2 linked regions of the Rattus norvegicus genome follow. The protein of the gene in region 2 interacts with the protein of the main gene of each other region in a pairwise test. Links are inferred from orthologs where the notes say so. Each region holds a gene or a part of one and is shown on either strand. Other genes may lie near its edges.

Region 1 (4,549 bases), on a different chromosome or scaffold from region 2:
AACATATATGGGAGTGTGAAAAGCTGTAGAACTGAGCAAGAAGGCAATGTCAGTATACAGAAAAAGATCACAGCACCATGCCATGTGACACCTTCCTCTTACAAGAAGGAATTTAGGCGGGAAACCAGTCAAAGAAAGCAGATGTTCCGGCAGACCACCCAATGCCCTCTGGATTTCCAATTTTCTCAGTCCTTGTCATGGATCCAATAAACTACTCTTTCTTAAAAACTACATCCCAGACATTGTCTCACTCTTATTTTCTCAGCTGGGTGGTTTCTGTGTGTGTATATGCACACAACTTGACCTTAAAGATATTCATTTCTATAGCCTCAACCATCAATTCTAAACTGGTAACTTCCAAGTGGCTAGCTTAATAAGGCATTTTTGTGAATATGTAGCTGCTTGGACCTCTTGGATTTTTATGGTCCAAGAATCAACTCTCTTGATACATTTTTTTAAACTCTATTTTTTATCTTGGTGAATCTTAAACAATGTCTTGTAAAAATGCCCAATAACTCTCCATCATTATCTCATTCTAATATTTTTAAATTATTACTATTATTGTGGGTGAGCAGATGGGTACATGTGCGACAGCATGAATGTGGAAGTCAGAGGGCATAATTGTAGAGTTGGTTCTCTCCTTCCACAGTTTCATTGGTTCTAATGATCAAATTAAGGTACCAAGCTTGTGCAGGAAGCAGCTCTGAGCCATCCTTCCAGCCCTATCATTTCATTCTACTTGTTACTTGATGCTAGACTTTGCTGACAGGTTACTAAACCAACCTTGTATCTAAAGAAAAAGAAACTTAGTTTAAAGAAATCAGCAACTGTAACTAGAAAGGCACTCTAATGAGAACAGAAATCTTTATTACAGCTTGTAGCTGTCCTATATTTGTTACTTTGTTTCCACAAGGCCCAGCAGTGATTTGAGATACAAGTTAAACAAACATCGGTGGGGTGCTGAAGACTCAAGCTGAGCGATTCTGGCTTAACTACAAGGTTTTAAATAGAGAGAATGAAATGGAAAAGGGCAGCCAGAAAAAGTACAGGAAGTAGGATGAACTCTGGGGTCAAGCAAAAAGACTTGGGACTTAAGCCAAAAAAAACTAAAAGGCTTCACAGTCATAGGTCTGTGTCCACTTACACCACCCTATCTTGAATCTAAATTCATCATTTATATTATCTATATCACAAGACCGAGTTCGCTGAGGCTACATGACACCACTCCTTGCTTCTTTGTTAAGTTTAAAAAGCTGTGCCCCCACAAAAATAAATTATTCTTTGAAGGAGTGTTACAGATTCCTGTTGAATTTCTTCACCCCCCAACCCCCAAGCTGGGGACCGAACCCAGGGCCTTGCACTTGCTAGGTAAGCGCTCTACCACTGAGCTAAATCCCCAACCCCTCCTGTTCAATTTCTATGCCATTATTTCCAATTCCAAATTAATGAATGTTTTATGGTTTTATTACTATGGTTTTGCAGTGCTAGTGGGAAAGAATTAATATAGCAAAGATTTAAATAAACATTACTCATCTTTGGCAATAGGGAACTACAAGTCTTCGGACTATAACATACTAGATCACACGCATACAAGTGAATCTTTTTTTCTATTTTTGTTTTTAGATGGAGTTTCACTGTCTAGCCCAGGGTTTGCCTGACTCCTGAAAAGCAAGTAAATGATCCTTCTTCCTTAACCTATAGCTCAGAAGAGCCCTTGCCTAGCATGCATAAGGCCTTGAGTTTTCTCCCCAGCACTAGAACACAAAAACAAAAACAACAATAAACAAAAACCAGTTTAGCCACTTGGAACCATTTTCTAACTATTTTCATCTGTGCTTCACTACCAACAGTGAAGTGAGTTTCAGCTACTTTTGGGGAAGGAGGAAGAAGACTGCCAAGAGCTGATCTAGTACATATTCTTATTCCGACCCTGTCCCTACTGGGTTTTTATCTTACAGACATTTTCTCTTGTCCCTGTGGTTGGCTTATTTCTGAGTCATTCTCTTGTCTCATAAAATAATGTTCTAGAGTCTACCAGGATAAAGTAAGCCAAGAATGAGTTTATTAAAAACTACAAACAACTTCACTAACAGGTACGTGAATATACAATGGGTTTGTGTGGGTGTGTTTCCTACACTTTTCCATATGCAGCTATAGACAAACTGATAAAACGTGTCGTGATCAGTAGGGAGTACTTCACAAGTGTCTCCCTCCCTGCTAGTTATCTGAAGGGACCACATCAGAACATTTGTGAACATTACTTCACCTTTTAGCCTACTCTGTTAGTATTCTCCCTGCAGCCAGACTATTGACTTAATTTTATTCTACCTCCCCTTTCTTCTTCTTTCAAAAGCTAAGAGCCAAGTATAGATTCCAGCATTCTCTCCCTTGAAAAGTCCCTTCTTACATGTAAAAGGCATGACAAATGACAAATTTCCCTCAGTGGGGGCCAGGTCTAAGGTTCTCAAGACGCTACAATAATGGATATCTGGACATGACTTGACAGCCGCAACACTCATTGCCTCTATCAAATCCAGCCGACAAATGCTATATCACACCAAGTGCTGGTCCCAATTCCTATCAACAAGAGGAGTCAGCAATGCGTCTACCGAAAAATGGCCTTCTCTAGCCTCACCTCAGCTCCTAGAGCAAACCACCTAAATTTCCACGAGTTCTTTCCACTTCAAAATAGAGACATGCTTGTCTGAGTACGTTGAGACTTAATAGATGACAGTCATTAAACTCCGTAGATTTGTCTGGCAGGAATGCGTGCAGGAGACGACTAACTTTATGGGGGGAGGCAGGGTCGGTCCTTCAATCCTAGGACTCCCCTTCCCCAGCGCCGCCATAGAAAGCGGAGCCCCAAACCCTCCCAGGCGCGGTGGGAAGCTGCTGGTGGAGAGGACAAAAGGCGCTAGCCGAAGAAGACTCACGGATGCGGGCGGCTGAGGGGCCAGGGGAGGCTCCGGGCTGACGTCCATCCTCTCGGCGCCGTCCATCTCTTCGTCCGCCATCTTAAGGGAAACGAACGCCCGCAGTTCCCGATCCCAGGCTGCCAGCTAGCGGAAACCTGTGGCCGACCCGACGCGCCAGAGACGACACTTTTACGACGGCCCCTGAAGTCAGGTTTGTCGCAGCACCCTGAGCGGCTTCCGGTCGGCTTCCCGGAAGCAGGCTTCCAACCTGCCAAGCCGGAGGTTTCCGCCCCTGATGGGTAGTCCTGCTTTCCCGGGGCTGATCCCTGAGGGAAGTCCTCACTGCTCTGTCTTTATCCCTTAACCCCGGGGTAGGCGTGGTGAGATGACAAAACCCAGAAACCTAATCCATTTATCCGTAAGGGAAGACAAACTGAATACAACCCCGTTACGGAATTCCGCCTGAAAAGAACAAGGTATAGATATACGGAAACATCGAGGGGAAAACGCTGCCACAGACTACAATTTTTGCATTTGTGCAACTATGCATTGTGCGAAGGCATAGCTCTGAGCCAGGAGAAAGCCTCCAAGGCTAAGACCAGGGTTGGAGGACAAAGGTGATAAAGAGCTAATTTAGTGTCATATGTTCTTGGGTTTATTTTTTTGTTGTTGTTTGGTTGGTTTGGTTTGGTTTTTACGAACCGAATAATAGCCTCCAATTCCACACATTTCTCCCACATAGGCATTCCAAGTGACAGATGTCAGCCACCTGGCTCCTTTTTAAATTTAAAAAAAAATTTTTTTTAAATTTTAGTGACGTGTGTGTATACGTGTGTGTGTGTGTGTGTGTGTGTGTGTGTGTGTGTGCCACGATTCATGTTTGGAGGTCAAAGGACAATTTGAGGAGGTTGGTTCTCCACCATCTCGTCTGCCATGGTAGTTGTTTTTGTTGTTTTTTGGTTTTTGTTTTTTTAAAGAGATCTGTAAGGTCAAATTTTCTTCGCATACTCCAGCCAAAACGACACATGACTGACTATAGATAGAGGCAGAACTACAACACACCCATTTTCTATTAAATTGCAACTTAAGAAATTTGTGAAAATTAACCATTCTAACATTTTGGATAATATTTGTTTACAGAGTTAATTTTCATTTTAAATGTTGTTTGTGCCTGGTATAATGGCACATACCTTTAAGCACTCCAAAAGCAGAGGCAGGTGGATCTCTGAATTCAAGGCCAGCCTAGTCTACTCGGGAACTACATGGTGAGACCCCATCTCAAAAATAGAAAAGGAATGTATAAAATGTTATGCTGTTTAAATGCTTGTAAAGCGGGCATGGCTGGTTTACAACTGCAACGCTAGCTAGCGTTGGAGAGGCTGAGATATGAGGGTTGTTCCAAGTTGGAAGCAGCAGAACTATATAGGTCCGGATCAGTCTAGCTGAGAATGAGGCCCTGACCCAAAACAACAAAGAGCGGAACTTGTTGGGTTACATGAAGCCCTGCATAGAAACTTTTAAGCTAATTAAAAATTTTCTCCATCTTAAATTATAATCAGTAAATATCGATAGAAACCATATATGCAAAAGATTCTTGGGGAGGGGCCCAATAGTTTTAAGGCATTTAAAGTGAT
Region 2 (3,732 bases):
CTTCGTCAAGGCCTGCACTCTCTAAAGAGCAGACGTAGTGAACACTCACAATACGTTCAGATGTTCAAAATTAACCTTAAGGAATCTCTTAAATTAGGCCGGGCATGCTGTTCACACCCTTAATTCTAGGCAGAGGCAGGTAGATCTCTGAGTTTGAGGCCAGACTGGTCTACAGAGTGAGTTCCAGGACAGCTAGGGCTATGCACAGAGAAATCCTGTCTAGACAAACAAACAACAAAGAGCAAACAAAAGGAATTCCTTACATTAACCAAAAAGTTTAAATTGCACCAGATTATTTATATTAATTATATTAATTATATTCTATCCTTTTTCAATATGTCTGTCATATCTGGATTTTCATTGGTATTTGAGTGGATTATCCCATTGATTGAGTCCAGATTGAGTCCTTTGACGTATTACACTGTGCACTTAGGTGTGGCTCTTGGGTGTGCAACATGTTGTATTACAGAGAGCATTTCTTTTGAGGTGGGCAGCAACCTGATATATGTAAATTAAAATTGTTATATCTAGATTCAGTATATTAAATATCTGGTCTGTGTAGTACACTGGTAGGAACAGTATTTTACCAAGGGGAAGAGAGTCAACTGTGCGACAGGGTCCGAGCCCTCTGTCCTGACGGTCTCCTGTGTGCACAGCTTCTTCGGAGATTTTGGGTTCATGTTTGGAGGAGCCCCTCGTCAGCAGGACAGGAATATTCCAAGAGGAAGTGACATCATCGTAGATCTAGAAGTCACCTTGGAAGAAGTGTACGCAGGGAACTTTGTGGAAGTAAGTTCGCACAATGCACCTACGCACACTGACCCACAGAACTTGTACTTTTGACCACAAATCAGAGACTTTCCAGTACTTTTTGTCTTTTAGAGTAGGAGAGGGAGTGACTGGCACACAGTTAATTCTTCAGAATCCTTAGTTCATAGCAGTCACAAACCAAACTGCCTAGCCTGAGGATGCAGTGAAGCAGTACCATGCCTGTGCCTGCCTGTGTGCTTTTCACTGCCCTGGCTCACCACTGCTGTCTGGTGTGTTGCAGCACTGCACATGCATGAACCTGAACGATGTGTTCTTGCTGTCGCCTTTGAGTTTGTAAAAATGGCACCTCGTATTTTGAGAGACGTTTGTCTCTGTGAGTCATCCTTGCTGCCTACAGCTGTCAGTCTGCTGAGTAGACGTCACTGTGACGTCAGTGGGGTTGTGTTCTTTTAACTCCCGAAGAGTCCTGTATGTGAACATTCCTGTACATATTGTAATTACACATGAAGTGTGAAAGTAGAATTGTTGGGTGTGCTGACACGTTTATGCATTACACAAAAATGCCACAGTGTGTTTGAAATTGTCCAAGCCAACAGTCAACATGTTTGCCCCACCCCTGTCCGTATGGGATATTCCCTGCTCCCTCTTAATTAGAATTACAGATGGGTCTAGATGTTTTCTGTATCTTGGTTGCACTTCTTAATCTCTGACTGGGCTAAGCATCTCTTTTGTTGGCCCTGTTTGTTTGTTGTGAGATGCTCCATCACCGTGCGCCCTGCTTTGTCTCTCTCATGTTGATTTGTGAGACTGCTTCATATTTGCTCTTAAGTCTCTGAGCCACGATGCAGATGTAGCTATCCATTTATGATATAACTTGTTTTACACGGTATTTAGAATTTTAATTAGTACAAGTGTTCATTTTAATGTGAAAAAATCTGATCTTTAATGATTAATTTTTGAGTCTTACATTTTAAAAGTCTGCTCTAAATGAAGAAGCTGTTCTGTGTTCTCTAGTAAAAGGTGGCTTTCTTTCACCTGCGGTTGTCTTCTGTGACATTTGTCATGGACTTTGCAGCTAGACTGCATGCTTTCAAACCATGTGGTCTCCCTTAACCGAATGTGCCGAGAGGAGTAAGAGCCCCTACAGAGCTGCGATTAGATGTGTGCACGACTAGTGGGTGTAAGCACCACTGTGGGCGGCTTCTCCAGACGCTTAGTCATTTACGCCATGAACACAGTGCCCTGAGAATACACAAATATAAGAATGTGGTGCTTTTTAAAAGCTGTATTTTAGTTTTAATTTTGTGTATATCTATAGGTGTGGGCACAGGAGTGCAGATGTTCAAGGCATCAGATGTAGACAGTGGAAATCGAACTCAATCCTCTCCACCTTTTGGTTTTGTTTTTTGAGATGAGGATAACATAGCCCAGACTGGCCACAAATTCACTGTGTAGCTGAGGACGTGTCTATGAATGTGTTTGGATGGTGACAGCACTGGGGATTACTCCTGGGCTGGGTTGCCTAAAACAGAAAGAGGGGGTCTAGGGAGATTGCTCATAGAACTGGGAGGTAGCCACACAGCAGCTTTTGAATGCCATGGCTGTTCTGGGGGTTGGGGGTTGTGCTGTGTATAGCTCAGACTTCTCAACATAGCAATCCTGTGAGCTGCTTTAACTCAGCGGCCCTGCTATGTCTTGGAAATGCTGATACTAATATCTGGTTTTAGTCTCTTCCCCTCTCTCCTCTCCTACAGCTTCAGACTGAGATCAGAGTCATTTCAATACCCACTTGCTGCCACCCTGTGTGGGCCTTGGTTTGTACCCCAGAGAGGAAAACTAAAGGCTGTTTCATGTGTTCTTAGGTAGTTAGAAACAAGCCCGTAGCCAGGCAGGCTCCTGGCAAACGGAAATGCAACTGTCGGCAGGAGATGCGAACCACACAGCTGGGACCAGGGCGCTTCCAAATGACCCAGGAAGTGGTTTGTGACGAGTGCCCTAATGTCAAGTAAGTGAAAGGCCCTCGGCGTGTGTCTTGTGTCTACTTGTGACAGATGCTTCCCTCCAGCTCTGACCCCGAGTACACGCCCTGATATCTGTGTGATGCAGAGACGCTCTGCTCTCAGTGTTAGCATCTGAACGCTCTGAGCAAGCCCAGGCAGCCTTGGCAAGCAGCACAGTGGGCTGTCCAAGAAAAGCCTCCCTGGGAGCACAGTGCAGAGCTGATGGTACCTGGGCTTCCGCTGCTGTGTTCTAGCCCCTTTTAAATTCCCTTTGTCACAGACTAGTGAATGAAGAACGAACACTAGAAGTGGAAATAGAGCCTGGGGTGAGAGATGGCATGGAGTACCCCTTTATTGGAGAAGGTGAGATGCTGGTGTGGATTATGATAACTCTTGCCTTATCCCTTAAATATATGGCTGCATGTTATTGGGGGGGGAGTGAAGGCATTGCCTTCCCAGACAGACTTAACAGAGACACTGCCTGAGGCAACGGATTTAAAAGTCACTCGAAGTGTCAGGTAAAAACTGAGTTCAGATTGTGTAATTTCCGTTTCTTCTTGGACTGCCCTGACCAGGTGAGCCTCATGTGGATGGGGAACCCGGAGACTTACGGTTCCGAATCAAAGTTGTCAAGTGAGTATCAGCTGGGAGAGACTCCCAGCTTTGCGTTTTGCTTGAGCGATCACAGGACTAATGAACGAGTCCTCGCTTTGTCTTCTGTTTTATGCTTACAGTACCATAGGCATTGTTTCTAACTCTGCAGCAGTACTGAAAATAGGAGGTGATGCGCTGGCCTTGAACCCCAGATATTTACCGAGGACTTAAAAATGCAAAAGATGCTGGCAGGAAAGACTGGGTGAAAACGGAAGAGCAAATGGGCACTGTACAATGCTTGGAAAAGGCAGGCACAGCCCTGGGGCTGGGCCCTGGCACTGTATAGGCCTTGATGGCTGCCACATTT

The links. The genes of interacting proteins can lie anywhere in the genome.
Region 1: the proteins of Dnajb11 (region 2) and Ubr1 interact in a two-hybrid assay, tested with the Homo sapiens proteins (2 studies listed by BioGRID and IntAct). The link is inferred for Rattus norvegicus from reciprocal best matches to the Homo sapiens genes DNAJB11 and UBR1.

Annotation. Positions count from the first base shown.
Region 1 is NC_086021.1:128,372,459-128,377,007, forward strand, and holds the start of Ubr1 (E3 ubiquitin-protein ligase UBR1), read right to left. Parts: upstream 3,015-4,549; coding exon 2,934-3,014; intron 1-2,933. UniProt on the Homo sapiens protein: E3 ubiquitin-protein ligase which is a component of the N-end rule pathway. Recognizes and binds proteins bearing specific N-terminal residues that are destabilizing according to the N-end rule, leading to their ubiquitination and subsequent degradation.
Region 2 is NC_086029.1:91,659,179-91,662,910, reverse strand, and holds part of Dnajb11 (dnaJ homolog subfamily B member 11 precursor), read left to right. Parts: intron 1-656; coding exon 657-789; intron 790-2,633; coding exon 2,634-2,776; intron 2,777-3,051; coding exon 3,052-3,134; intron 3,135-3,346; coding exon 3,347-3,404; intron 3,405-3,732. UniProt on the Homo sapiens protein: As a co-chaperone for HSPA5 it is required for proper folding, trafficking or degradation of proteins.